7 linked regions of the Ovis aries genome follow. The protein of the gene in region 6 interacts with the protein of the main gene of each other region in a pairwise test. Links are inferred from orthologs where the notes say so. Each region holds a gene or a part of one and is shown on either strand. Other genes may lie near its edges. The genes, in order: NEK6, ERCC3, RFC5, CKS1B, SSX2IP, XIAP and PPIH.

What was found.
Region 1: the proteins of XIAP (region 6) and NEK6 interact in binary tests that used the Homo sapiens proteins (3 or more experiments, as listed by UniProt). The two-hybrid records come from large-scale screens. The link is inferred for Ovis aries from reciprocal best matches to the Homo sapiens genes XIAP and NEK6.
Region 2: the proteins of XIAP (region 6) and ERCC3 interact in binary tests that used the Homo sapiens proteins (3 or more experiments, as listed by UniProt). The two-hybrid records come from large-scale screens. The link is inferred for Ovis aries from reciprocal best matches to the Homo sapiens genes XIAP and ERCC3.
Region 3: the proteins of XIAP (region 6) and RFC5 interact in binary tests that used the Homo sapiens proteins (3 or more experiments, as listed by UniProt). The link is inferred for Ovis aries from reciprocal best matches to the Homo sapiens genes XIAP and RFC5.
Region 4: the proteins of XIAP (region 6) and CKS1B interact in a two-hybrid assay, tested with the Homo sapiens proteins (3 studies listed by BioGRID and IntAct). The two-hybrid records come from large-scale screens. The link is inferred for Ovis aries from reciprocal best matches to the Homo sapiens genes XIAP and CKS1B.
Region 5: the proteins of XIAP (region 6) and SSX2IP interact in binary tests that used the Homo sapiens proteins (3 or more experiments, as listed by UniProt). The two-hybrid records come from large-scale screens. The link is inferred for Ovis aries from reciprocal best matches to the Homo sapiens genes XIAP and SSX2IP.
Region 7: the proteins of XIAP (region 6) and PPIH interact in binary tests that used the Homo sapiens proteins (3 or more experiments, as listed by UniProt). The two-hybrid records come from large-scale screens. The link is inferred for Ovis aries from reciprocal best matches to the Homo sapiens genes XIAP and PPIH.

What each region holds. Positions count from the first base shown.
Region 1 is NC_056056.1:11,509,632-11,513,331, reverse strand, and holds part of NEK6 (serine/threonine-protein kinase Nek6), read left to right. Parts: intron 1-235; coding exon 236-376; intron 377-1,763; coding exon 1,764-1,826; intron 1,827-3,700. UniProt on the Homo sapiens protein: Protein kinase which plays an important role in mitotic cell cycle progression. Required for chromosome segregation at metaphase-anaphase transition, robust mitotic spindle formation and cytokinesis.
Region 2 is NC_056055.1:118,229,789-118,233,488, reverse strand, and holds part of ERCC3 (general transcription and DNA repair factor IIH helicase subunit XPB), read right to left. Parts: intron 2,324-3,700; coding exon 2,274-2,323; intron 1,854-2,273; coding exon 1,718-1,853; intron 1,538-1,717; coding exon 1,373-1,537; intron 960-1,372; coding exon 755-959; intron 1-754. UniProt on the Homo sapiens protein: ATP-dependent 3'-5' DNA helicase/translocase. Binds dsDNA rather than ssDNA, unzipping it in a translocase rather than classical helicase activity. Component of the general transcription and DNA repair factor IIH (TFIIH) core complex.
Region 3 is NC_056070.1:57,206,401-57,210,728, reverse strand, and holds the start of RFC5 (replication factor C subunit 5), read left to right. Parts: upstream 1-1,396; 5' UTR 1,397-1,501; coding exon 1,502-1,563; intron 1,564-3,030; coding exon 3,031-3,095; intron 3,096-3,359; coding exon 3,360-3,496; intron 3,497-4,328. UniProt on the Homo sapiens protein: Subunit of the replication factor C (RFC) complex which acts during elongation of primed DNA templates by DNA polymerases delta and epsilon, and is necessary for ATP-dependent loading of proliferating cell nuclear antigen (PCNA) onto primed DNA.
Region 4 is NC_056054.1:105,196,492-105,200,927, reverse strand, and holds the start of CKS1B (cyclin-dependent kinases regulatory subunit 1), read right to left. Parts: upstream 2,898-4,436; 5' UTR 2,806-2,897; coding exon 2,747-2,805; intron 221-2,746; coding exon 93-220; intron 1-92.
Region 5 is NC_056054.1:61,682,647-61,686,346, reverse strand, and holds part of SSX2IP (afadin- and alpha-actinin-binding protein), read left to right. Parts: intron 1-971; coding exon 972-1,108; intron 1,109-1,448; coding exon 1,449-1,622; intron 1,623-3,700. UniProt on the Homo sapiens protein: Belongs to an adhesion system, which plays a role in the organization of homotypic, interneuronal and heterotypic cell-cell adherens junctions (AJs).
Region 6 is NC_056080.1:107,805,884-107,810,327, forward strand, and holds the start of XIAP (E3 ubiquitin-protein ligase XIAP), read left to right. Parts: upstream 1-1,452; 5' UTR 1,453-1,674; intron 1,675-4,444.
Region 7 is NC_056054.1:17,161,016-17,165,483, forward strand, and holds the start of PPIH (peptidyl-prolyl cis-trans isomerase H), read left to right. Parts: upstream 1-1,648; 5' UTR 1,649-1,672; coding exon 1,673-1,738; exon of another isoform or gene 1,739-2,073; coding exon 2,074-2,138; intron 2,139-2,429; coding exon 2,430-2,453; exon of another isoform or gene 2,454-2,547; coding exon of another isoform or gene 2,548-2,570; intron 2,571-2,725; coding exon 2,726-2,770; intron 2,771-3,021; coding exon 3,022-3,064; intron 3,065-4,468. UniProt on the Homo sapiens protein: PPIase that catalyzes the cis-trans isomerization of proline imidic peptide bonds in oligopeptides and may therefore assist protein folding. Participates in pre-mRNA splicing.

The sequences.
Region 1 (3,700 bases), on a different chromosome or scaffold from region 6:
GGAGGAGCCCAGATCTGCAGAGGGGCATCGTCGGGATCAAAGGGAGATGGTGTGGAGAGCGCCAAGGGGCGAGGGGGCCTCTGATAGTGAGGGGGCGATCAGGGTCCCTCCTTCACCCTGAAAGGGTGTTGCCGGGGCTGGGGAAGGGGTAGCACCGCCCCCCAAACCCCATCCCAGGTCTCAGCCCTCCACTCCGCCTGGCTGGTCACTGATGCCCTCTGTCTTTCCCCTCCAGAGGCACCCCACGGCCCTGTCTTTTCGCTGCTCACTGGCCGACTTCCAGATCGAGAAGAAGATTGGCCGAGGGCAGTTCAGTGAGGTGTACAAGGCCACCTGCTTGCTGGACAGGAAGACAGTGGCTCTGAAGAAGGTGCAGGTGAGCCAACAGCACCGTGGGGTCAGAACTACACAGCAGGAGCCGGCTGGTGGCTGATCACTGTGGCCCTGGGCTAGTCCTGCCACTCCCTGAAGAAAACCCGGGAAACTGGCACTCTCCTCACTCACGGGGCTGTGGAAGAATTAGGCGGCCTGGTCTTTGCGAAAGCTCCCTGTGAACCATAAAGGAAAACAAGGACGAGCACATGCTGAGTGCCTGCTGTATCCTGCGTTATGCTGGAGCTCACAGAATCTTGATAGCGGCTTTGTGGGTTGGGGATTATCACCCCATTTTTCGGAGGAGGAAAACTGCAGACACATGAATAACTTACCAGGGCTGGTGGGGGAAGCTAAGTGGGAGCTGAGGCTCAGATCTGCAGCCAACTGACCCTCTCTGGTAGCTCTGGGCTACTGCCCAACCTCTGAGTCCCTTCTAATCGGAGGAGTGGGGTCAGGCAGATGTATTCTATGCAGCAAAGCTCAAGGAGAAAGCTGCTCGTGAGAGCCTTTGGGCCCCTCTGAATGGCTCTTTTCTGCAGGAAATGGCCTTGAGTCCTCCAGCAGGGCTTCCACAGCCCCTCGACTTGCTCATTTACCTTAAAGAATGAGATTAACCGGCTGGGCAGAGGAGGCCCAGCAGAGGGAAGGCAGTTCAGACACAGTCACGAGGTGGGGAGACGGGCAAAGAAGCCCCACCTGGAGCCGGACAGTGTGATTCTGTCCTTGCGGATCTGGGTGCTGCACACGTGGCCTGGGATGGCTGGAGGGGACACGGGCTCCTCGGTTCAGAAAAGGCCCGTGTTCTGCGTTTGTCTGCCGGGGACGGGCTCACCCGGGTTCTCTCTGTGTTGGTCTTTAGTGCTGGGATGGGTTCTGCGGTGGGGCGGCTGTAGTGTCGCCCTCTGGTTTGTTCCTGTAAGTTAGGATGTGCTGGGAGGCCCCACGTGCAGTGAACACAGGTCCTGGGGGCCATCAGGGGGTGCATGCTACACCCTTTCTTCTAACTTGGTCCACATGACTGCCCAGTGAGGTCAGGCTGTTGGCCCCATTTATAGACGTGAAGACTGAGGCTCCAAGGGTATTTCCTGTCCTACCCCTTACCGGTGCATGACCTTAGCAAGTCACAGGACTTCTCTGGACCTCAGTCTCCTCCTCTGTAAGTTGGCCGCAGTAACCCCCGCCTCATAGGAGCTGCTGAGATGATTCGGTGGGAATTGGTCAGCACAGCGCCTGGCACGTGATGGGCACCCAGTTATCCGAACCATTGTCCTAAGGGTTCCCTCTGCAAGGAGGCGTGAGAACCCAGATTGGGGTCCTGGGCCTTGTGCTCCCTCTGGGGCTCTGGGTGCTGGTTTTAACCACTCTTTCTCTGTCTTCTCTCACTCAAGATATTTGAGATGATGGACGCCAAGGCCAGGCAGGACTGTGTCAAGGAGATCGGCCTCCTGAAGGTGAGTGCCCTGCGCCGAGCAGGAGCCCCACGCTTCCTTGGGCCAGGCTGGGCTATGTCGTGACCATCATAGCCCCTTAGCCCTTTAAATTCAGAAACAACGTATTTTGGAGGAGGGCAGTGGCTGGTTTGTCCTCCTGTGGCTGAGTGGGGACCCCACCTCACCTCTGCCCAGTCCTCGCGGCGCCCCAAGACTGGCTGTCCGTGCCCCTTGCGGATCTGGATGTGGCAGCCGTGGACCAGGCTGTTGGGGAAGGAGCGGAGGTGGGCATTGGGTCCGACTGCGGTCTGTCTGTCTGTCTCCCTGTCGGTCTCATTACATCTTTGCTCTCAGCCTTGTGCCCTTGTATTTCTACTCAGAGGCACACACATCTGAATATTCAGCCAGGTGTGTTCTCTTCTTCTCTCCCATTCTTGTGCATCCAGGAGATGCTCTATGCCAGGGAGACAGAGCCGAGCCAGTCTGGGGCACTGGGCAGAATTAACAGCCAAGCACAGGGCCCCAGGTTCTGGGAGCTAGAGGGGCTTGGGGCCCCTGAGTTGTCCACCTTTTGGACTCTAGCCAGGCCTCCATCAGGGAGGAGGCAGGATGCACAGCTGGGGATGGGGCCCCCCGGGAGTAGCTGATGTGCCTGCCCCTCTGTGGGCAGAAGTCCTTGGTTCCACCAGAGCTGGACAGGGTTGTATGAAGGACAGACCTGCGGGGCCTGTCCAGGGCGAGGGATGGTGGTGGATGGTGTCTATGGTCATCCTTTCCGCCTTCCTGCTGGCTTCCCCTCCGGTCTCCTGAGAGTCAGAGATGACAGAACTTTCTGGACTAGACCTATTTCCCTGGTCTAGGGGTGGCTCTCCCTGGGGCTCTGCCCTCCTCCCCAGGTTCAGGATTCCACCTGAGAATTAGGAGGTGATGGAGGAGAAAAAAAGGGATGGGCTTTGGAGGCCCGGGATCCTGGATTCAAACGCTGATGTCTTCGTTTACAAGCTGTGTGACCTTAAGCATATGACTTAACCTCCCTGAGCCTCAGTTTGCCCATCAGCTCAATGGAGAGAATGCTGGCCTCACAGGATATGGGCAGATAGAGAGAATTAAATAAAATAGTATCGGGGGAGTTCCCTGCTGGCCTAGTGGTTAGGATTCCAGGATTTCCTTTCCGGGACCTGGATTCAGTCTCTGGCTGAGGAACTGAGATCCTGCAAGCAGCGTGGCATGGCCAAAAAATAAACCAATGAAAAAAATTTTAAAATAAAATAGTGTCTGAAGAGGGCCTGGCACAGGAGAGCACACAGTCAGCACTGACTTGGTGTCCTGTCTCCCCACATAGAGAGCAAGCTTGCTTGGCAGCTTCCTGTAAAGTGGGGCTACTGGTACTGTCAACCATGGCACCCGCCACCCCACCACCCAGGGATTCCCAGGCAGGAGGGAGAACAGACAGGCGGCAGATGGTGACCGTCGAGTGACGCTGGCAGACGCAAGGGCCCCAGGGAAGTCGTGCAGCGCCCAGGGCCTGCTCTCAGAATCTGGAAGGCTGAGACGGGCCTGCTGCAGGAGCCGTGGCAGCATGGATGGGCGTGCAGGTCACGGTGGACTCGAATGCCACATTCAGGATGTGAGACTTGAATGTGGGGACAAGAGGGGGCCCCGCAGTGGCTGAGCGTGAGGTGCCGTGGCCATATGGGAGTTGTGGATGCTCGCTGGGGTGGCCCTTGGCTGTGATGGGTCCCAAGGGGGAGCCTAGAGGCTTGTAGGGAGGTATCCTTAACTCCAGCTATCACAGGTCCTAAAATACTCTTCAGATAACATTTTGAAAGTTTTACTAAATGGTTAACTTTGGACCCAGTTGTGATCCCTGAAACTCTGATTCCCCAGCCCTGGGG
Region 2 (3,700 bases), on a different chromosome or scaffold from region 6:
GCACTCCAATCTGGCCCAAATTATTCGTAATGATCCTCAAAGCTGACACTGTTGAGGCATTTTTTTCTGCTCCAAACCTGTTTCCTTCTTTACAGAAAAGGAGGTGTGCCTACTTCAACACAAATGTGAAAAGTAAGAGACAAGTGCCAGGCCCTGTTAAAGCGCCATATATGCACCTTGTTTAAATCGTAAAAAGCAACATCTGTCAAAACAAACAATGAGTAAGAGACACTTCTACTATTGCTGTTTTAAAGATGGGAAAACTAAATCTAAGGTGTAACTGGCCCGAGACCCTGGGACAGCAGTGCTGCTAGGGTATACTGTACCCAACACATGGACTCCCTTCGGAGGGACTGAGTAAAAGATGGCTACTATGGTCACACATAAACTGGGCTGAGCACTCAGCAACATGGTCGTGTGAACAGTGCTACTGGCAAAGACACAGGAAGGTGAAACTCCAGGGGCTTCTGAGTTTACCACCGTCCACCATTAATGAAGATCAAGATTAAAAATCAAGCTGTTCCTTTAAAAAGCAATTCTTCCTTAACCAGGGATGTGCTTCAAAGTAACCCATGCAGCTTAAAAAGAAAGAAGGTGCAGGCCCCTTCCTGAGACAGTTCACCTTCTAGAGTCTGGGGCAAGGCTCCAGCTGAGTGTACTACGATTTCCGGCCAAGAACCTAGGCTAGGCCCGACATGACTCAGGACAGATGCAGAGACAGCAGCCCACCCATCTCCTTCACTCAGTCACTCACCACAAGGAAGGACAATGACCCCGGAGCGCGCGCGCCCATTCCCAAACATCTTCCGCAAACTCTTCTCCTGGTAAGGTCTAAGGACAGCTGTGGGCTTCAGGTCAATGTTGATATCAGGGTTGACAGAATCATTCCGAAAGTCGTATTCTGCCAACAGAGGGTACTCCAGGTGGATGCAACGTTTCTGGAGTTCTTCAATCATTTCCTGGAAAGTGAGCATGAAGGTTTCATAATCTTGTTAACTCCAAAGCGTGCTCAGAAGCAACACATATCCTAAGACACCTAACAATAAAAATCAAGTTTACCTAGACTTTTGCAATTTCAGATCTTGCTTGATAACAACTGGGTTTAAAGCATAGAAAAGGACCCCAAACTAAGGCAATGAACAAAATTAAATCCAATCAGCTACCAAAACACCCCAGAGACACCATTTCTCACTGATCCACCAGCAGGAAGAATGGGCACTCAGATACAACTCCATCAGGAAGAATGATGAAACAGCACACTGGAGACAGATAGGGGTTCCTTCTTCTCACACAAAGTATGGACAGTCCAGGCAGGGCCAGACCAGCTTCTGATATCAGCTTAGAGAAGCAACCAGGAGTTATGTTCACTAACCTGCTTGACTTCAAAAGATACTGTCTGTGTCTCTTCTTCCTCCTCCTCATCCTTGTCCATTTGCTCATAAAAATCAAACAGGTCTGTGGGGATGTCAGATTTACCCTGTGGATCTGTCACTCGGGAAGTGGAGGGCCCACCGCTACCTTCAGCGCTCTTAGCAATCTGGAAGAGAAAGGCAGGATGTGGACTTGCACAGAACATTTAACCCTACTGCTACCAAGCACAGTCAAAGCTGCAAGAAAGCGGCAGGACTACTAGGCTATAAATGCTGGACTAAAAGCACCTGAGGGCTACAATCCTGAATGTGTCCAACCCCTGAGGGTGACCCAGGAGCCCACATACAGCAGATTTGCTTGTGAAAGTCTCGGTGATGAGCTCGGTGGCCTCCCCCTCAGAGTTCCTCAGGCGGCACTCCCGGATCACGGCATCCTGGAGAAGATGCTGGATGACGTCAGGATGAGAGCTTTCAACGAAGTACCTGTAAAAGGGGAGGAAGCAGAAGCCTGCTGGCCGGGACAGGATTTGCGGAAGGGTCCACTTAGCATTCTTCGGATGGTCTGGGGACGGCGGCCTCTGGCCCCTCTGCACAGTCACCCTGCCCCATCCCTTTGCCGAAGCTGAGTGATGAGCTACTGGTCATGAGAGCGCACAGAAGGGCTGCGGGCAAAGCCCCACTTTGAAGACACATTAGCAGGGATCGGAGCCCCAGCTCCACTGCCAGGGGAATACAGTGGTCAGGGAGTGAACAGTTCTGGCCACACAGCTTCCCTCATTCCCTTTAGCCCCTTACTCTGGGGAGCAGTTGTTAGTGCAGAGCACAGCCCACAAACGTTAGCTTCCTGCCACTGACAGGCAGAGGGTGGAAACGCCTTGGTGGGCCTGTCACAGAGTCCCTTACCTGTTGTGCTTCAGGACCAGCTTGACTTTCCCATAGCTGACAGTACACAACTGCAGGGAGGGACAACACCAGACAGGTAAAATCAGCCACATGCAGCTCACTCAGAACAAGTCATTACCGGACGCATTTTACTACCTTTCAACTAAGTGAAGGGTTCATTTTACTTTAGGAACATCCAATGTGCAATCCTAAAGGGGTAGATCTGTCTAAATAGAGCTTTTTCTATTAGCTTCCACTTTTTTTTAGCTTTACCTGTTTTTATTTTTAACTTATTTTTAATTAAAAAACAACTGCTTTACAATATTGTGTTGGTTTTTGCCATACAACAAAAAGAATCAGCCATAGGCATACATATTGAAAAGCAGAGACATTACTTTGCCAGCAAAGGTCCATCTAGTCAAGGCTATGGTTTTTCCAGTGGTCATGTATGGATGCGAGAGTGGGACTGTGAAGAAAGCTGAGCGCCGAAGGATCGATGCTTTTGAACTGTGGTGTTGGAGAAGACTCTCGAGAGTCCCTTGGACTGCAAGGAGATCCAACCAGTCCATTCTAAAGGAGATCAGCCCTGCGATTTCTTTGGAAGGAATGATGCTAAAGCTGAAACTCCAGTACTTTGGCCACCTCATGCAAATAGTTGACTCACTGGAAAAGACTCTGATGCTGGGAGAGATTGGGGGCAGGAGGAGAAGGGGACGACGGAGGATGAGATGACTGGATGGCATCACCGACTCGATAGATGTGAGTTTGGGTGAACTCCGAGAGTTGGTGATGGACAGGGAGGCCTGGCGTGCTGCAATTCATGGGGTCACAAAGAGTCGGACATGACTGAGCGACTGAACTGAACTGAACTGAATACATATGTTTAAATATTTCTACTAATAAGGATGACTAGAAATTAATGAACTAAGTATCTAACTCAAGCTACAGGTTAAAAAACAGCACTACCCACAAAAACCCGAAAGAAACAGAAGGACAAAAATTAAAGATAAAAGTGTAAAAATGATTTTGAAGAAAACAAACTAACAGTAAAACTACTTCAAGTAAAATAAATCCAATAGAAATAATTTTTTTTCATTGAAAATAGCAGGAATTCCCTGGTGGTCCAGTGGTTAGAACTGGAGGCTCTCACTGCAGAGGGCCCACGGTTAAAGTCCTGGTCAGGGAACTAAGATCCCACATGCCCATGATGCAGGGGTGGGGTGGGGAAGTGAAAACAGCTTAAACCAGTAGTTGACATAGTCGAGAAAAGTTAAGAATAAAATACAGAGCCACTACAGAAAGTGGTGAGTGGAGACAGACTGTTTACTGCACACCTTTTGGTGCCCTTGTCTGCATGCTGAGTCCATTTCAGTCACATCTGACTCTCTGTGTAGCTTCTACTTTTTGAGAGCAAAACCTCCCTCTTGTCTGGCTAACTCTGATGCACA
Region 3 (4,328 bases), on a different chromosome or scaffold from region 6:
CTGAACTGAACTGAATACTTGCCAAAGAACCAAGAACACAATACTCATTGGATAGTTTCTACAAAAAATAATGTTGGAAAAACTGGATATCCATATGATAAAGAATAAGGTCATTATACTAAATGAAGTAAGTCAGACAGATGGACATTGTCATATCACAGCCCCATCTGACCCCCTTCTGACTCCCCAGGAAGGGACCAGGGTGAAGCCATAACTGTCATTTTATATTTGCCCTCTGTCCCTCTATTCTACTCCTAAAATGGGTGACAGTGTGGTAGTAGGAGGCAAGGAGCAGCTACTTCTAAATCAGAACACTTGTAATCCTGGGTCAGCCTCATCTCCTCTCAGGATTGTTGTCTTTCTCAGCATGGCAAAAAAAAAAAAACCAACAACCAACAAACAAAAAGCAGGGACTTCTCTGGTGATCCAGTAGGTAAGAATCCGAGCCTTCAAAGCAGGGGCCTGGCTTCCATTCCTGGTCAGGGAACTAAATTCCACATGCCACAGTGAAGAGACCGTGTGCTGTAACAATGATCCAACAGGCGGCAATGAAAATCTCGCGTGATACTGCGCGCCCCAACTAAAACCCAGCGCAGCCAAAACAACAGCCAAACTTTATTACGGATATAATACACACTTATTGCTGGGAACTACAGACCAGCAAAATAGAAAACATAAGTGGTTCATAATCCCCTTACCTCAGAAAAAAAATACTAACATTTTGATACCAATTCTCCTCAGCAGCTTCACGTCAGAGGGACCCTGTCCTCTTCGCTTACTAACTAGCCCTTTCCAGTTACACATATTAACCTGGAGGGAAGTTACTTATTATTTACTTTTTCCTCTCTGGAGTTGTTTCTGGAGGTCGTTCTGTAAATTTTGTTGGGTGAGGGGCATAGATTTGAGAGACAGACTGAAGTTGGAGTTGTGCTTGGAGTTGTTTTTCAGTTTGAAGTGCTCACCTCCTAGCTTTGGGGGCAAAAAGTATTTCAAGCCTTGTTTTTTATGGTATCTGTATTCAAGAACTGGTCATGTCATTTCGGGTTGTTTTACCTCAGAATTTTTTAGCGCTGGCCGCTTTCTGTTCCCTTGAAGGGTAACAGCTATAACTCTGGTGACGACTGGAATTGGCTTTGGCCGTGAGACTTTAATTTGTAATGATGATTGGTGGCTGTACGGGGTGGCCGTGCCTCTCAGGCGCGCGCTCCCTCTGGGTTCAGGACTCTGGTCTACACCAGAGAGGGGAGATCCAGCTAGAAAAGGGCGGAGCTGGGGCGAGGCGTCCGCCCGGGCCTGCCGGCAACCAGGCAACAGGGCCTTAGCAACGGGGAGGGGGCGGGACCTAGGGAGGAAGTCCGATGGCCGCTAAATCTCGCGAGAGTTGCGTTTGCGCGCTAACTCTAAGTGCGAGGGTCCCGGGGTCTGGTTGTGGCTGTTGGCGAGGTTCGGGCCTCTGGGAAACGCGACAAGCCCACCGGCCACCATCATCACCATCATCATTATGGAGACCTCAGCGCACAAGCAGCAGCAGCCTGAGGCGGCCAAGATCAGAAACCTGCCCTGGTAGGAGGGGGCCTGGCTGCTGCGGGGAAGGGGATCGGCCGCGCGCGGAGGCGGTGGCCCGAGTGAACAAGTGGCCAGTCTCCAGCCCGACCTCGCCCCGCAGTCCCCGGACTTGAGGCCGGGGTGGAGCCACAGAAGTTCACCTGCCCTCAACTCCCCAGTCCTGCTCCATTCTATTTATAACTGGCTAGGTCTCCCTTCACCCGTAACCCAGGGCCCCCTTTCCTGTTGCGGAAGAGGAAAACGGCTTCCCCACTTGGGTGACAACATGGGTTCGATCCCATGTCTTCTGACATTGCCTTGGCCTCTGTGGCAGAATATTCTCTTGACAAAATAGTCTCTTCTCTCGGTGCGATTACTGGTCACATTCTAAGCTAGAATAATGATAATGATGATGACAGCACTTCCTAGTTAACTTATATTTCAGTGACTTTGTTACACGCACCCTATTAGATGTTGGAATTTTGCAAAGACCCTGGGAAGAAGATACTGTTATTCCAGCTTTACCAAAAGGTTAAATGACTTGCTTAAGGTCTAGAGTTGGAAAATAGGTTTGGATTTGAACCCAGGTGGTCCACATTCAGAGCTTGCATTCTTAGCCAGTCTGCTTCCACAACTGTGTCTTACTGTTGTTTTAAAGACTGATAGGATTTGGCTTGATTTTGAAAAACTTATTTCTTTTCAAAAGTTTTCAAGATAATGAGTTCGGTTTGTTGTTACTATAGTAAAAATATATAACATACAATTTACAGTTGTAGCGATTTTGTAGTGCATTCAGAATGTTGTGTGATCATCCACTATCTAGTTGCAAAGTTTTTCATATACCTCAAATGGAAACAATATACCTATTGGCAGTCACTCCCCATTCCCCTCTCCCTCAGCTCCTGGCAACCACTCATCTACTTACTGTCTCTATGAATTTGCCTATTCTGGATATTTCATGTAACTTGAATCATACAATATGTAGCCTTTCATGACTGGCTTCTTAGATCAGCAGTTCATGTCCTTTTATTGCCAGTAACATTCCACTGTATGGCTATACCACCATTTATTGATCCATTCATCTGTTAATTTATATTTGGATACAGGTTCAATTTTGGATTAACGTTAGGTGCCCATCCAGGTTGAGATTATAGGCAGATAGCTGGAAAGGTGAAATGAGAGCAGTTTTTCAGGGGGGCGTGGCCACAGGGGTTAGCCTGTGCATTTCATAATGTTTAATAACTTCCCTGATGACTATCCACTAGATGCCAGTAGCACCTTCCACCCAGTTTTGACAGGGGAAAAGTCTGTAGATATTATCAAGAGTTCACTGGAGGACAGAATTGCCCCAATTGAGAACCACTGGGTTAGAGGTTTTTGTATCTCTCTTCTTTTAGTTAGGATATGTATGAAAGGACTCTTCTGCACCTAACAAAATATTCTGGCCTTTATATATGTTGTAATGCATGCTACATTGTATTTTAGGGTTGAAAAATACCGGCCACAGACACTGGATGATCTCATTTCTCATCAGGACATCTTGAGTACTAGTAAGTATCCCTGTGTCAGTGGCTGGTATCCTAGTTGAAGAACCTGGATACATTGCTTAGGGATGTGGTCTCTGCTGTGATAACCTTAAAGAATCTGACTAAGCTTTTGGGATGTGGCTCTGACAGCTGCATCCTTCAGATGTTTCATTCCTGCCCGTGCCCTGGATTTGAACACAGATGTGAAGTAGACTCAGCCCAACTCTGGCCCGCGGTGAATGAGGCGACTGAGACTGATAGCATCTGTCTTTCTCCCCCCATCTTCAGTTCAGAAGTTTATCAGTGAGGACCGCCTGCCGCACCTCCTTCTGTATGGTCCTCCAGGGACAGGAAAGACATCCACCATCCTGGCCTGTGCTAAACAGCTGTACAAAGATAAGGAATTTGGCTCCATGGTCTTGGAGGTAAATGAGAGGATTACCCTTAACTTTCAACGGACTCTGGTTTCTTATTTTTAGTTCTGCTAGTTTTGTTTTCCAACTTAGTTGCCCTGCTGGTGGTTGGGAAAGAAGCAGATATACAATATTTCAATTCACTTTTCCTATAATTGACATTTTTGCCTGGAGATTTTGGGTGTAGCTAGAGGGCAGTGGTAGGGCCAGGTGTTTTTGTTTGCTTTTGCCAGCTTTTACTCAAACACTCAGGGGTCACTTGGTTGCTAGCTGTATCCCATGTGCCCTTCTCCATGTTGCTCCACACTGTTCTTGTCCCAGAAGACTGGGCGGTGTTGCCGACAAGCTCCCTTGCCCTCTGGCTCCTATTGGGTTTGGCCAGGAGTTGGGGGAAAAATGATGCCTGGTCCAGCCCTGGGTCACCACAGACGGACAGTGTCCCCACCCACAGGGCACAGCACCCAGCATTCCCCAGGAGCCAGCATCACTCCCCCAACAACCCCTTAAGACTTGAGAGTGGTAATGGGCCCCAGTAGCCCATAAGGTATTGCATAGCTCTTGTGGTTTCTCCCACACCTCACGAGCACCTTTGAAAATATCTCTTCATTTAATTCTCTTCAAATTACCGAATTTGAGTGTGCTGTTTACTGCTGGGACACGACTGATCCACTTAGATTATGAAATTCTAAATATTGTCTATTGTTAAGAAAAAAAATGGTTTAACTTACTTTTTTTGTTATAGATCTTAGAATCTTTCTGCTACCAAGATTCTTAATTGTTCTTACTTCAGTTTATTAAAGACTTGCTAACTTCTGAGTTGCTCTGGGTTGTGGTAGCTAAAATT
Region 4 (4,436 bases), on a different chromosome or scaffold from region 6:
GGCTGGTGAGTTAAGAAACCCACAAATCATCCCCACCTATCATTCCTTCATTTCCTTGGTCCTACATGGTTGCTTTCAGCCATTGCACTGACCTGGTTCATGGATCATATAATGGACCCATCCCTGACTCTGCTGAACACCAAGATTCCTCCATTCAGATTCAGACATCAAATGAGTTTTAGGGACCAGCTTGGCTATGTCCTTGGGCAACATGACATGCCTGTAATAGAAACGTGGGAAGGTGGGAAATTTGTATCAGAACTGGGTACAATCTATCAGATGAGGGGGCTAGCAGGTAAAGCCAAGACAGACAAGAAAAGAGAAACCAGTTTGTAATGGCAGGGAGTTTATAAAATCTTATTGTAGTGCAAAGGCAGCTAGAAATAAAGCCCAAGTTACAGGCCAAGTTACGTAAATTCTCACGAAAGTATATTAGAAAGTACATATTAATGAATAACACCCGTGAATGAGTGCCAAAATTATAGCCACTTACAGTCCTCTAGTTGATTACTCTTAAACAATATAATGGGAGCCCCAGAACACACACACAGACTGTTAATAATTAGGGGTGGTTCTGAACAGGGTTGTAAGGAAGAGAGAGAAGTGATTTCAGAGAGGAAAGGCCTATCAGGCAGTGCTGTGTGGAAGAGCCAGAACATAAAATCAAATATATGGAGAAGGAAATGGCAACCCACTCCAGTATTCTTTCGTGGGGAATTCCATGGACAGAGGAGCCTAGCAGGCTATAATCCATGCGGTCGCAGAGAGTTGGACATGACTTAGCGACTAGACAACAACAAAGATATCTATTTATACATTTATACTTTTATAAATTTCTATGGCCTATGTATAAAATGTCCACAATCCCCTCACTTTTTAAGTTTTACAATTTACAATTTTACAAACACCTGAAGGCAAACATTTTTCTCATAATCCATTTGGTTACTAAATCTGAGATGACCTGAATTTATCTGCTGGTGAAATAAAGACTTTTTTACCCGCCCCTGTCACCAAGAATGAAATAGAAAAATCTTCTCTTTTAAAATCTATCCTCATAAGTTACATTTTTCAACTCTGAAAGGATGTGCCACGAGACTTCTTTGGGGGAGACTCCATGCTTTCCTAACCAAGGATAAGTCTCCTTTTATAGCAAAGAAATTACTACTTGAATTGGGGTGACCCAGACTTGATTATTATGTTCAGTGACACTGCACTGAATGCTCTCTCTGTGCTAAGTAAAAGGGATTTCACCCCCCCACCCCCCACCTGTAAGTCAATTCTGGTTTAAATGTCTGAAAACAGCTTACATCCTAATAAGCCAATGGCATAAAGACTGGCTTCCAGGGACTATTTAGACCAAAACAAAACAAAACAAAACAAACCTTTCCTTAAATCAAATATCACTGCCAAGACTTACATCCTCCAGAGGATGAAACTAGTGATGTCTCCCTAGCCCTGCAAAGACATTTTAAGCACACAATTTTAGTTAGCCTAGTTCAGATGTAGAGAACAGCTGAGGAAAAGAGTTAATTGGGTTCAAACAGGGCTGGAGTGTTTTTTTTTCTTTTGGTCGGGATTGTAGTTGCAGCGTGTGGGACCTACTTCCCTGACCAGGGATTGAACCCAAGTCTCCTGCACTGGGTGTTTACCATCTTAGCCACTGGACCACCAGTGAAATCCCAGGGCTGGGGATCTTTTCCCAAGGATCGGACATAAAAACAATGCAGGCAGGGTTATTTGACAGCATACACCAAGTTCTCCAGAAGGCTCAGAGCCCTGCACTAGGCTCAAGAAACACACGAAAACCAAGCTTCCAGTTGTTTTAACTATTAACGCTTACTACAGATTAGTGGAATGCCAACATTTGTAAAATTCTTTGTGTTGCTTTATTTTCTAATCTAGAATTATGGACTTAAGAGCTTATCAAATGCAAACTCTGTATGGAGTCCTTTCTTTATCATGTTTGGTAAATCCTATGTGCTCCCACCACAACCTACATGTACATAGCTCTATTATACCAATTATCATCTTCTTTCTGAAGCCTGTCAGTATTTCCACATATTTTTTAGGTCTGTTGAAAGCAGGGACCATGGCTTATCCGTGTACTTTAGCAGAACACCTGAAACCTATAAACACTCCATAATTGTTTCCCAAGTAGATGCCCTTCAAACATTTGACGGTAATCTATTAGGGCCATATTAAGTCTTTCCTCAGTGGTTCTGGTCAGTTTTACTCGATTCCAGTTCCTCGAAGCCCCCCTTCCTAAAACAAATCAGACAACCACGCCCCTTTCCCATGGATTAATAAGCAACACTCAGGCTCTCTTAGAACTCTCCTCACTTTGAAGACTCGAAGAAAATTCAAGCTTCGCCTTTGCCACCTTCTCCCAGAAGGCTCTACGGTGTGGCTGTAATACAAGCAGTCTCAGGAAGGCAAGTTCAGTTTACTCAACTGAGGTGAGAGAATGGTCCAGAAACCCGCAAAGCTGAGGGTGGTCAGTATTCTAACATTCGAACACTCTAACCACGACCACCCATGCCTCCTTCCAAATTCGCTATCACTCTAGGGGTTTTTTTTGATTGCCCCCCTACCTTTCGCGCATGCGCCTCACACTCTCAGCACACCCATTCCCGTTAACCTCCCGCGCATGCGCCAACTCTGCAGTTTTCAGTCCCCGTTACCAACTTCTCGTGCCCTCAGTTGTCAGAACTCACGACCTTGATATTGCCCCCGCGCCGGCACTAACCGGTACTCGAACTCCTCGTCGTCGTATTTGTCCGAATAGTAAATTTGTTTGTGCGACATGATCACTCTGCCTGAGGACCTTCAGCCCCGCGCCGCCAACCTCCGAACAACTCCCAGCAGCACGCGCTCCCACCCTCTTTGGCCTCGCTTTCAAACACGCCGCCTGCGCTTTCTATTGGTCCCTCTGCCGGAAGGCGGGACAACCCCACCTTCAAGCCTCCGATTGGCTTAGGTTTGCTTCTACTCAAGTCCTCATTGGAATGAACATTGCTCAAGAATTGCCGTAAGTAAAAAATAGACGTTTTATTGGCTATCACTGCTACTGTGCTCGTCCGCGCACTGCCATTGGTTGATTCGGGAAAGAGGGACGGGTGAAGGAGGGACAATGAGGTACAGGGTCAGGGGTTAGTGAGGCCGGAAGTGAGTGCAATAAAGTTTCTCCAGGGAGGCCGGGCCCGGGGAGAAAGTTGGAGCGGCAACCTGAGGAGACAGTGGCGTGATCCGGAACCAAATCGGCCCGCGGTGCGGTGCGGAGACTCCATGAAGTCCTGGTGAGTTGGGACATTTTTCTTCTTAGGTGACCCACTCCTCTACCCCGGAACCCCTCTCCCGGGACCCTACTTCCGGTCTTCATTTACAAGTCCCGCCCTCTGCGACCCCCTCCCCGGAAGTCCCACCTCCCAACTTCAGGGGGCTCTCCGAACCCCGACTTATATTCCATTTACTGTCCCCAATCCTACCCTGTCGTCCAGCTTTCCTGGAAGTCCCACCCCCAGACATGCTTCCAAACCCCTGCATTAGTCCTTCCGATTCCCCGAAACCCCGCCTTCTCGAGACTATTCTCCGTTAACCCCTGTCTATCAAAAGCCTAACTCCCAAAAGGGCAGAACCCTGCTACTCAAAGAACTATTCGAATTCGTGAGGCCACGCCTCCCTAAGGGTTCCGCCCCTTTAGAAGCCTCGCCCCTTCCTTAATCCACGTCGGATCGTCCAGAAGCCTCGCCTCCTGGGAGTCTCTGGTGCACGCGTCTTGAGGGGCCACGCCCCTTCAGGAGCGTTATCCCGGTTGGACCCTTGTCATCGCCTCAGGAGCTTTGTCTTCAATCCCAGAAACTTCACCTGCTTGCGCTTCCTCGTTCCTTTTCTCTTTGGGGCCCTTGGCTCAGTTTTCCTGAGCTCTTAGGCTCCACTGGATAGGGTCAAAAGTTCACATCTCTGACTCTGTGGAGTAAGAGATTAGAGGCAGCCCTTTCCCTCTCCCTTAGCCCCTTCCAAGGGTGGACCTACTTGAAGGGGGCTGGACTTGGGGTTTGGCACGAGAGTGGGAGGGAGACTTGCTCACAGATTCCCTGCCCCACTCCCTGAGTTTCCCTTCCCAGGACCGACTCCACCCCAGAAACAGCTGTTTGTCTCATACCTGTACGACGGGAGCTGGGTAGGGCCGTGGATTTGTCGATGTGTGACATGTGGGTGTGACAGAAGAGAAAGTTTTCTACCACCTGAAGACGGTGGCTTGGAATGGGTGTAGGTAACAGTGTCCTTTTTGATGTTTGATTTTTTTTTTTTAAGGGACTCTTCAGGCCCCACCACTTCTCTGGCTCTTCCCCTCCCCCAGACAGAGTTCTAGTCTGGGCATTTCTCCTGGTCCTGCTTGCCCAGCCTTCCCTGCTGGAAACATTCCTGAGGCTTTC
Region 5 (3,700 bases), on a different chromosome or scaffold from region 6:
AAGAATCCAAATAAACTTTTTGGCTAACCCAAGAGAACAGTCAGGTCTCTGTTCCCTATGGTGCATACCTTTCTAGACCTTTCTGCATTTGCAAAATACTTATTTTAAATGTCTACAAGCCATAAGTTGAATATTACTTGTTTTTTTCTATACTGTTCTTTTTTCACTCAACAGTGTATTATTTTTAGATAACCAGTTCCTGTCATTATAGATACCTAGTAGATTGATGTTGATGAGTATATCCTTAACATTTTATATTTGTTCAAGCTTGCATGTTTTTAAATCAAGAAAATTAAGACGTCTGTTAAGTAAATGCATTTTACTTAAAGAAAATTTATTCTAAATGGTCAGAAATGACAATCTCAGTGCTAATTGTCTTAAAAAGTGAAGTCAGAACAATTAAAGTATCAAAATTAGTTTACATGAGGTTTTTTTGATTTCATTTATCACTGTCTATTAGTAAATAGCAAGTATTTTTGGACCTGATATTTGTCAGATTTAATAACAGCAAGATTTGTAATCTTGCACTGATCTTTGAGGAAGTGTCAAAAGAGTATAGTTTATGAATGTTAATTTTTCTGGGAACATAGGTTTGCATTTCTAATTAGGACATCATCTTGAATGAATACAAATTACAGGTTAAATGTTGGAAATAGAATTTTGTAAGTAAGGATATCATTTAGTCCAGAAATAGCGTGAATTTTATAGTTACCACGAACTCATTACAGTTGCTTACTTAAAAAAATATTTTAGTGTTAAATAATATACCTTTTATTCTATTTTATTATAGCTAGTGGAGTTTTTAAAGGACAAAAGAAATAACTACCTTTTAGAAAACCGTTGAGATTCCAGAAAGGGAAAACCTTTCTGATTTTTAAATTTATTTCTTGATTTTTAAATATATGTCCCCAAATGCCATAAACTAAAATGGAGACTATAAGGTTTATGTCAAATTATTGGTTTTGTATTAGTTTCAAAGGTACACTTAGAAGGTTTTAATGACGAAGATGTAATCTCACGACAAGACCATGAACAAGAAACTGAAAAACTCGAGTTGGAAATTCAGCAGTGTAAAGAGATGATTAAAACTCAGCAGCAACTTTTACAGGTAAACGCAGGACACCTTTTAAAGCTGTTCTCCCCTGTGAAGGGTCAGGATTTTATTGAATCTTACTAGATTTTTGCTCCTTTATTTCGTAAGATATGTTTTACAGTCTAAGTTCTCTGCTTGCTAGCAGATAGACCACAAAGCATCATTAGTCGATGCTTTGCCTTTTAGAGTAGAAGCATTTGGGAAATGAGGCTTCTCATTTCCATTGACTTTCTGATTCTTCATCATCTCTCTCCTTGCCCTGAAGTTAGGCCTGCTTTTTTTGCTTGCTTTCATTTCAACTTGTTGGAGTGTTGCAGGGACCCTCTGGAACTTACTATGTGTTAAAATTTAATAGCAGCAGCTCGCTACTGCTTGTGATGATGACACCACTTCACTGCTACGAGACTGTTACTTGTTGGAAGAAAAGGAACGCCTCAAAGAAGAGTGGTCCCTTTTTAAAGAGCAGAAAAAGAATTTCGAGAAGGAAAGACGAAGCTTTACAGAAGCAGCTATTCGCCTAGGATTGGAGGTATTTTAAGCAATTGGCCTTCCTTGTAGAATGTTTGAAGGTCCTGGAGAAGCCTCACTAGAATGCATTGAAGTTCTTATTTTTTGTTTTTTTGCTGTACATTTCCTCAAGTATTTTACCAGTGATTTCACAAAATAGCTTGAAACGGAAGCTGTAATAGAGGTGTATCATTTTGCCTTCAGATTTGGGAATTGAAAAAAATTTTATATTGAAAAAACTAGGCCTTTGTCATGCCTTCTGGGTAGCTTTCTGCTTGCTGTTAAGAGTTTTGCTTCACGAAGGAGATTTCTTCTGGGCATCTGTCATCTCTCCGCTGTTAGTAGGTGTAAAGTCAGGAGAGAGTTCAGCCGAGAGAGTGTCTTGGGTTTTTTTTAAGGGAAGGGAGAGTACAGTACCATTGCCTTACCCAGGGATGAACTGTGTGTATGCGCTTCAGCAGCTCGCCTTTTTATTTAGTAGTGTGTTACATGCACTATTTCCCTATCCAAACCTAGAGAAGTAATGTCTGGACATGATTTAAAAAAAGAAACTCATTCCAAAAAGCTACAAGGTGTGAAAGTATCCTTCCTTCTTCTCAGTTTCATTCCTCAGAGGTACCACTATTGAAGGTTTATGATTCTTCTGGGAAAAACTATTTTAGCTTGAATAAAATTCAGCCTTTTTTCTTACAGTCAGCCTATTGACTCCCCACTATGAAACACAAGGAGTTTAGTGCCCTTACCATACCTCCCATCTACACTATTTCTCATATACATATGATTTCTCCATAATATTGTTACTTTTTTAAGCTAATTTTTAAAGAACTGTTTCTCCTGGTTGATTTTTTTACTCGGAGTAAATTTGTTTAATGCTTCCATTCCATGTTTGCTCAGCGTTAGACAGGATGGGTTTATCCCTGAAATGGAAGGTGAGGGCGTCCTTGTAGTTACCCTTGTTGCAGTGCTTTTACCCCTCGACTGCTCAGTTTTTGTCAGTGATGCTATTTTTCACTGTCAAGTGTTACCACATTTATACTCTGATTTTTAATACAAATTCAAGTGTAAGTACTTTGTCCAGGATTGCGATTTAAGAATGGAAACCAGAAAGAACATTGATAACCCTGTGATTATATGAATATTCATTCTATGGCCGAGTAATACGTTTGGACACTTTTATATAGCATTCTTTGTTGTTAAAACTGTCACGCAGAAGAGAATCTGTAGTGAATTCTGTGACTTTTTTGTGGGTGCTTGCTTTATGATTTCTGAATCAGGTTCAGCTTCTATCTCGTATTCTCTTTCTTGGGTTCCTTTTTCAATCTGTTGTATTACCTTCTTGAGTAATTTTTTCACAAGTGTGTGTGAGTGACAAATATTCTGAATTCTGGACTATCCAAAAATATATTCATACTTGATTGGTTTGCCTGGATGTAGAATTGTTTTCCAACTTTTCCTTTCAAAACTGTGAGTTATTCTGATTCTTCCATTGTTTGATTTTGCTCATGAGCAGCCTGGTTATAAAATACCCTGGGTTAATTTTAGACAGCTGTGCTGTTTTTCCCCCTCTGTGGAAGCTTTTGCAATTTTATGTTCTTAAATTAAGAGTTGTGAAATTTTACCAGGGTAGGTCTGGGTAGCTCCTTTTAACCTGAAGATGCTCTATTTCTTCAGTTCAGGGATATTTTCTTCAATTCTGTATTTTTTCCTTCTCTGACTTCTCTTGCATTCTGGAACTTCTGCTAGACAAATATTTGGCCTTCTGACTACATCTATAGATTGACTTTATGTTCCGAATTTGGGAATATTTTCTCTTTTATCTTGTGCAGCACCAACCTGGTATTCAGCAAGGTCAGTTTGATTTTTCACTTCATCCACTGAGTTTTTACTTCACAATTTATCTTTTAAGTTTTATAGTGTATTTTTTGTTTTGTGTCTCATATTATATTTTACAGATGTCTTTAAGTCTGTCTGATAATTTGTGTTATCTTAAAAAAACTTGCCTTGAGCTTTACCCATGGCCAGTTCTCTTTATTTCTCCTGGCATTTTTCTTCTATGCTATTACTTTTCTTCAAATGTCTGGTGATCCATGATTTTGTATT
Region 6 (4,444 bases):
GAAGATGGTACCCAGAAGATGCTGGGATGTTGATTCCCTTGCCCAGCCTCAGAGACACATGTTTGAGCCCTATATGGAGAAAGGCTAATGGCATAAGCTGGTGGATCTGGTTCCCAGCAGAGATGTAATAACGTGGGAGGGGAGCACTACCCTGACACCTGATCATTTGCAGCTTCAGTGATATAAGGAGCCTATACTCGACACAGATGTTCTGTGTGATGAAAATTAGGAAAAACTTGGAAGTAAGGCAAAAGGATGTCCTTTCCATGTCACAGTCTAACAGGCTGCCCAAAGATTATTTGTCTAGAGGAATATGTTTTGCTTGACTTACTATTTACTACTGATTACAGTCAAGTCTCTCTGAAGTCTCTATTAACTTGCAGACTGTTTGTAGAGATGCAAATGCTTCTGTCAAATAGAAATGACAGCCTCCAAGCTAACAGTTGTATTTCCCTGTAGGACATTAAACAGTATTGTATTGAAATCAAACTTCATAGTTTTACTTTATAATTATTTCTTTGAGTGCCTATATGCACTTTCTTTCAAGTTCTCCTTTGTTTATTTATTTGTTGTACTGGGTCATCATTACTGTGCAGTGGCTTCTCTTGACACAAAGCGTGAGCTCTAGGGTGTAGAGGCTTCAGTAGTTGTGGCTTATGGGCTTGGTTGCCCCAGCATGTGGGATCTTCACAGACCAGGGATTGAACCCATTTCCTCTGTATTAGCAAGTGAATTCTTAGCCACTGGACCACCAGAGACGTCAAAATTCTCCTTTGAATCAACTTAACATACTGCTGTCTCCTCATTAATGAATTAAATATTTATAGGGGCTTATTCTATATTTTGTATGTCACATATTTTTAAACATTTGTATTAGAGTTTAGCTGCTTTACAATGTTGCATTAGTTTCTGCTGTACAGCAACGTGAATCAGTAATATGTATACATATATCCGCCCTTTTTTTTAGATTTCCTTCCCATTTAGGTCACCACAGAGCACTGAGTAGAGCTCTCTATGCTATACAGTAGGTTCTCCTTGTCACATTTTCAGTTTTCTAAAAATTATACTTTGACAGTGGACACGTAGCTATGGCAAAGGTGAAACACTCTTCAGGTGTTTAATTGAACAGTGGATATAAATGAGAGGGCTGAGGCAAGTGAGGAGGATGGTGGGTGCCATAAGGTAACAACAGCTGAAAGATAGGTTCGTGAGGATGTTAAAAATATCCCCTGGGGACTCCCAGACATGACTTGGTGAAACAAACGTTTTACCTAAAGTTCCTGATTTCATCTTGATTGTGAAGGCAGAAGGAACTCAGAAAAGGGAAGCTGTCCAAGTTTCACTGAGACATTATTTCAAAACCTTTTCATGGAAACTTCTAATTGGATATCCTTTGGCCAGCTTGAACTCATGTCTAAAACTGTACTTCCTTTTCCACTCAAACTTATTTCTACCATTTTCCCCACTTCTTGAATGGCAACTCTTCTTACCCAGTCCTTCAAGCCTGAAACTGAAAAGTCATCCTGGACTTCTCTAGACTCTACGTATAAAATCAACATGGTCAACGTAAATAAAAAGGTAAACGGAGACAGCCTCAGTTTACCAGAAATTTAGTTTATTTGGGAATAGCAGAGAAATTGCAATTCAAGAAATGCAAGCTGTATCAAGCTACAGGTGAGTCCCTTGAGGGTTCAGGGTGGGCTCCATTTATGGGCAAGGAGTGCAAAGAGGAGGATGTCCAGCCAGAGCGCAAGCAGCAAGTTCACTGGCTTGAGGATGGGGAGGGATGTTTGTTGGTCAGGAGATAAGTCTCTGTCCTCTGGAAGTCAGGCATTTATGGGAAATCAGTCTCTTGGTTAAGTTCCATTCTTCTGAGGACACATGCCTGAGATTCTCTATTTCCAATCCTCCAGTTCCATTTCAGGTTGAAACCCTCTCACAGTACCCAAGTCTTAACTAATTATATCTCATAAACATTTTCCCCTTCCTGCTACTGTTTTGTTAATTCAGTTCTTTATCACCTCTCGCTTGATTAGCCTCCTCACCTGACTTAGGTTTCACCTTTCTTATCACTCATCCTGCCAGTCTAGTTTATACAATGTTGCCAGTTTCACCTCATTAAAAAATATTATAATCATGTTACTCCTCTGATTAAAACCCTTCAAGGGGTGGGGGGAGACTTCAAGGGAAGCCAGTGTAGAAGTGGAGTTGATGGAATTTGATAACCAAGTGAGTCAAGCAATCCGGGATGTGAAAAGACTCTTCAACGTTTTTACTGCCTATAGGGTAAAGTCCAGTCCAGGCTCATAACACTAAGGCAATTTACACCTGCTCTCAACTTACTTTATCAGTCTCATCTTCAGGCCCTCCCTAACAAATACCTTATACTATGATTATATCGCACTTCTCACCATGCTCTTCATGCTTCCTAGTCTTTCTGGCCACTGTTCCCTTTGTCCCAAATGACCTCATCTCTCTTCTCTGCTAAGTTCATTCCTATTCACCTGTCAAACTCCTCCAGGTGGAACTCACTGGTGTCTCCTTAAGTTTGGCACTATAGATGCCTTAATCCTGACACTGGTAGCCCTTGACCAGCTTACCAGCCAACTGGTGGTCACAACTCAATGTCCTCCTCCACCATGTGACAACGAAAGGCAATATCTGACCCTAGACAGGCTCCTGTACTGGGGTGGGGTAAGGGAATACTTAAAGGACATTATTAGGTCAACTGCTAAAATTGGAATATGGGATGATAGATTAAAGTGTTGTATCATGGAAATTCCCTCATGGTCCAATGGTTAGGATTCTGCCTGCCACTGCAGGGGGCAAGGGTTCAACCCCTGGTCAGAGAGCTAAGATCTCACAAGCTGTGTGGAGTGGCCAAAAATAATAAAGTGTTGTATTAATGTAAATTTCTGAAGTTGATAATTGGATTGTGGTTAAAGTAAGAGAATATTACCATACTCTTCAGAAATATGCACTGAAGTATTTAGGGGTGAAGGGCAATGATATATAATTCTCCCCAACAGTTCAGGAGAAAAGATAGAGAGAAAGGTAGATCATACAAATGATAAAGCACATGGGGTAAAAAGTTAACAGGTGAATCTGGGGTAAAGATGTTTGAGGAGGTCATCAGGAGGAAATGACTGCCAGTTGACCCTGGGATTGGACAAGCAATGGGAGGCTTCTTATCCCCTCCCCTGCTTGCTTGGAATTCTGCCCACTGCTCCCATGCTGCTGCTGCTAAGTTGCTTCAGTCGTGTCCAACTCTGTGCGACCCCATGGACGGCAGCCCACCAAGCTCCCCTGTGCCTGGGATTCTCCAGGCAAGAACACTGGAGTGGGTTGCCATTTCCTTCTCCAATGCATGAAAGTGAAAAGTGAAAGTGAAGTCGCTCAGTCGTCTCCGACTCTTAGTGACCCCATGGACTGCAGCCCACCAGGCTCCTCCGTCCATGGGATTTTCCAGGCAGGAGTACTGGAGTAGGGTACCATTGCCTTCTCCAACTGCTCCCATAGCCAGAGGTGATTCAAGGCCAGAGCTCTGAGAGAGTGAGGTATTGAGACCACCTGGACTGAATAAGTGACTGAGCCCAGTTTGGGCCTCTGTGTAAACTTTTAAGATTCTGGCAGGTGGGTGTGGAGATGGGTTTGTTTTGGGACCATCCAAGATGAGCCTCCTATGTAAGTTTCCTAACTTACAAAACCTCCTCCTACCAGTCTGGGGTGGTCTGCCTCTTTGGTCTCTCCTCGCTTCTGAGGATAAGGCGCCAATCTCAAATTTCACCTGGGGAGCTCCAGAGGTTTTGAACCGACAAAAGGGTTTATAACTGTTCTTTAAACTATTTCTTTAAAAAAAAAAATGTATTGGCATCTAGTTGCTTTACAGGACTTCACCAGTAATGAATCCGCCAGCAGTGCAGGAGATGTGGGTTCGATCCCTGGGTCAGGGTTCGATCCCTGGAGAAGGAAATGGCAACCCACTCCAGTATTCTTGCCTGGAGAATCCCCATGGACAGAGGAGCCTGGTGGGCTACAGTCCATGGGGTCTCAAAGAGTCAGACACGGCTGAAGGAACTGAGCGTGCGTGTGTGCATAGTTACTTAACAATGTTGTGTTAGTTTCTGCTGTACAGCAAAGTGAACCAGTTATACATATATCCCTTCATTTCTAGATTTCCTCCCCATTTAAGTGACCACAGAGCATTGAGTAGAGTTCTGAGTGCATGCATGCTAAGTCACTTCAGTTGTGTCTGACTCTTTGTGACCCCATGGACTGTAGCATGCCAGGCTCCCTTGTCTATGGGATTCTCCAGGCAAGAATACTGGAGTGGGTTGCCATGCCCTCTTCCAGGGGATCTTCCCAACCTGGGGACTGAACCCACATCTCTTACATCTCTAGCACCACCTGGGAAACCTAGAGCTCCTTGTGCTATAACAGAAAG
Region 7 (4,468 bases), on a different chromosome or scaffold from region 6:
TCCAGGAATCTCAATCATCAACCTTCTAGTTCCCACCAGTCTGGCTTCTCAGAAGGTAGTTACCATCCTCTACCTGGGTGAGGGCTTTAGTTCCTGCAGCACTCAAAGATCTGTATCAGATTATTACATATATCCCATGAGGAGGGACTAAGGCTCTGTTTTATCATTGAAATACAATTTTTTTAAATTTAATTGTAGTTGATTAACAATGTTGTTAGTTTCAGGTGTACAACAAAGTGAACTAAATTTTATTTATTTATTGCTGTGCAGCAGACAGGATCTTAGTTCCCTGACCAGAGAGCAAACCCATGTGTGCTGGAAGCATAGTCTTAACCACTGACCCACCAGGGAAGTCCCTGAACTATCATTCTGTGACTGCTTTTCCTTTGTTTTTGCATTCCCTCATTAGGAACTATTTGGATCTGCTCTTTGGAACAAGATCCAGGAGGGTCAAGTCTTTCTACAAACAAGGAATCAGGTACATAAGCAAGGGTTTTATACACAGCAGTGTCCTGCCAAGGGCCGGCTGTCTCAATGCCTTTTTCTTTGGTACTCAACAACCTTGAGGGAAACAGGTGGACAAGAAAGGGAACGTTATAGATAGGTTATTCCTAAGCTTTGCAAAGGCACCCGGTTTTTACGAAGGACCCAGCTTCATTTTCATGGAGTTAAACAAGTGTGAAGCAGCTGGTGAGGTGGGGAAACCATATAATTTTGGATGGTGAATGGCATGAAGAAAATCAGTAATCTATCCAAAAGAGTGACAGAGGGCTACTTTAGATTGGGTGCAATGTTCCTGACTAATGACCTGAGATGAGACTTGACCTACAAGACCACTCCGCACCCTCATGAAGATTTAGAAGAATATTAAAGTCAGTTAACAGGCCCTAAATAGAATCCGAGTCTCCGTGACCTAGAGGAACAGGCTAGAGTCCCAGGTAGGTGGCCAGATAATGTAATGTAGGTCTTTTATGTAGCAACTGGATTTTATTCTAAATAAGGGAATCCGGGAGTGATTTATAAGCAGATTCATTTAAAAGCTCTAGCTGCTCTGCAGTAAGTGACTTGGAGATGATGAAAGCGGAAGCTTGTGGGAGAACTGGAATTAAAGTCTAGTGCCTGACTTCATGAAAGTGCTGAATATACTGAACAAGCCTTATATGCCAGGCTGTTCAAAGCGCTGAGGATAAACACGGTTTTTGCTTCCGGGCCTCCAGACTAGTGAAAAGGGGTAAGAGGCCGCACATATGATGGTTCAGACGGTCTTGGCTGCAAAGGCTGATCAGACCCTGAAGACTGCCTAGTCCAAGCCCCGTAGCCTGAGCGAGAATCATCCGTACTGCACTTACTGTATCCAAGTGAATGAGAGGCCCGTGGGCCTCGAGCGAAAAAAAAGCCGAGGATGTCCTCCGGCCTCAGCGCTCAAGGAGACTCAGGTGAGGTAACAACTTGCGACTCGTCAAAACGGAAGGAAGCCCCGGCCACCCACGCAGCGCGCAGCTTGGCATCGAAGGCAGAGAGCTTCCGGGGGCGGGGCCGACCGCCTCCCACCGCACCGCCCCCCCCCCCGGCTCTTCCTGCGCCTGCGCCGGAAATAAACACCTCCCGGCGGAGCAAGATCATAGGATCGCCGGAACCCCGCGCTCCCGACTTCTGCTTCCGGGTCAGAGGCATGGCGGTGGCAAATTCAAGCCCTGTCAATCCCGTGGTATTCTTTGATGTCAGCATTGGCGGCCAGGTGAGGTCTTGGCAGCCAGCCAGCCCGATGCCAAAGGGAACGTGCACGCGGTCTGGCAGGCAGATCACCTCCTCAGGTGTAGCAAACTCGGGAAGCCAAAAAGTGAAATTGAACCAGAACCTACCGACCTGCGGGGCGGGGGTGAGGGAGTAGGAAGAGGAGGAGTCTTGCGCATCCTAGCGCCCGGCTGGTGGAGGGACCGGGTGGAACGGAAGAGTAGGCTACGGAGGCGGAGGTGGGAGAGACCAAGCGGCATGGGGGCCCGAGGGTTCCCTGTTCGGTGAGGCCTTCACGGGCTTGGACTGGGCTTTCTGAACGTCTCTCGCCGGTTGCAGGAGGTTGGTCGTATGAAGATTGAGCTCTTTGCAGACGTTGTGCCTAAGACGGCGGAGAATTTTAGGTAAGATGATGTTCTTTGCTGGATAAACCAAACGAGAAGCTGGGCCTGTCTGTGGAATCTTCTGCCTACCTCTATCCGTTCATTCACCGTCCTTGAGATCTGACTTCTCTGGGTATCTCTCTGAATAGTCTTGACCGTCCCCTTTTCAGTTTATGTTAATCTGTATGCCTGGACGTCTGACCAGCCAGTTGGTGGGCTAGCTAGCGCCGACGTTCCCCTTCCCGCTGAGGTTAGGGACGCTCAGAGTTGTGATGCCATGGCGACTGAATCGTTCACTCTTTTCCTTTTCAGGCAGTTCTGCACAGGAGAATTCAGGTCAGTCTCTGACGTGGTTGACTTCTCTGCTTGCTCCTGAGGGCTGTCCTGAGGCTGCAGTTGAGGGTATTGGGGAATCACCGGCAGGCCTTGTATGACTGGTGACAGTAATAGAAGGTATTACTATGGGTCTGTCCTCAGTTCATTTGCCTTCTTCGTCTCTCTTCTCCCGACCATCTTTAGAAGGGTGTCTCTGGCTCGACTGTATGGTAAACGTGAAAGGCCTATGTTTACCTGTTTACCATTTCAAGTCTCTTTCTTTTTGCTTATAGAAAAGATGGGGTTCCGATAGGATACAAGGGGAGCACCTTCCACAGGTAAGGCCTTTGGCAAGCCATCCTGGGGGACTTTTAAAATTACTATTAGTATGGTTTAGAATTACTTCCTTGGGGGATTAGTCTCTTCAGAGGAAAACAAAACCATAGCATAATTCTTAGTTCTTGAGAAGGGATGCTTTTGTGAACTCAACCATTGATTTGAGGACTGAAGTGATAAACATTATATTTTGAAATTAATGTTATTCCAAACCACACAATCTTCTCCCAGCATCCTTTGTTCTCTGTTTCAGGGTCATAAAAGATTTCATGATTCAGGGTGGAGATTTTGTTAATGTAAGTACTGTTCCTTTCCTATTAAGGGCCTATAAGTTTTGTTTTTGTTGGTTGTTGTTATTGAAGCTGCTCCTCGGGGAACTGAGAACAGTAGCCAAGTTTGCTGGGGGAGGAGGTGGGAATGGGAATATCCTGTGATGGCTGCTACTCGCTGCATCACTAGATAACATATTAGCACTTTGATTGAGTCACTCACTCCAAATCTCAGTCTTTTAGGGCTGGGAACTGACTTTCCCAGCATACCTATAGGTGATCCATGACAGACCCAAATTAACTGGGCACATGGAATTTAGCTAGAAATCAGTTACAGTTAACTTTCTCTAAATGGGGGCAAGTCCCTTTCCAGTGAGTTAAATGCTTATGCCCTGATTTCCCATTCACTTCTGGTATCCCAGTGCCTCGGAAGGTGAGTTGTTATTTTTTTAATCAAGTTCATTAGTGGGCAAGAAATCAGAGAGTTCTGGAAGGATATTTTCCCTATTCACTAGGAGAACCCATTGAATTAATCCTTCATTGCTAAGCATGATTTTTCTTGCCACTGTATGCATCCCCATTTCAAGCTTCCCAACCTTGCAGGGTTCTGAATAAACCACATTTATGCTTTCTTAAACCTACGTTTGTCCATACCCACCCATTTCTGTGCATGATCTTTCTTATTAATATCATTTGGTTAGTCATGTTGCTGTTTTCTTGGATCTGGGAGACATTCTTTATCCTTTACATGTATATTTAGTTTGACTGTTAGGAGTTTTTTTAAGATTTCTATCTTTCCTACCCAGATAAGTTTACAAAGTGGCAGATTTGGGGCTGAATCCGAAACAGATATGCTTTGTATCATCTGTATGATGTTGTAAAACTGGGAAATTTTCCGGAAAGTTCTGGAGTTTTGTTTTCTCTGTTACAACTGAAAAGTAGGGGTGCACTTGGCCTGTGTTTCTCATGTAGCAACATTTGGTTGAGTCAAGTAACAGCTCCCTTTAGACAGGTATGTCCTTATTATTTCACCACAGTTCCCACCACTGGCTTCCCTTCTTTACGTCACATACTCCTATAGGCATTTAAGTTTGCAACCCCTGGCCACGACTGATTAGAGTAGGGCTTGGGGTGACCATATCCTTTTTTATTGGCAAGTAAGAAGGGCTAAGATGCTATTCTCTGTGTTCTTTCTTCCAAAGGCTTCTATACTGCTATATTGTCTTAGCAGGGATAGGACTAACTTCTTATGGGTCATTGCTAGGCACATGTGATCACTTGCTAATTGCTCTAGAGTTAGCAGTTAGTCAGCCAGAAGGCTGTCAGGGAGAAGAAATTACTCAGAGCCACCCTTAGGGCAGAAAAAATAGAATGAGCAAGACGTAGAAGCAGAATTTGAGACCTTCTAAAGTTGGACTAAGAATATTTGCT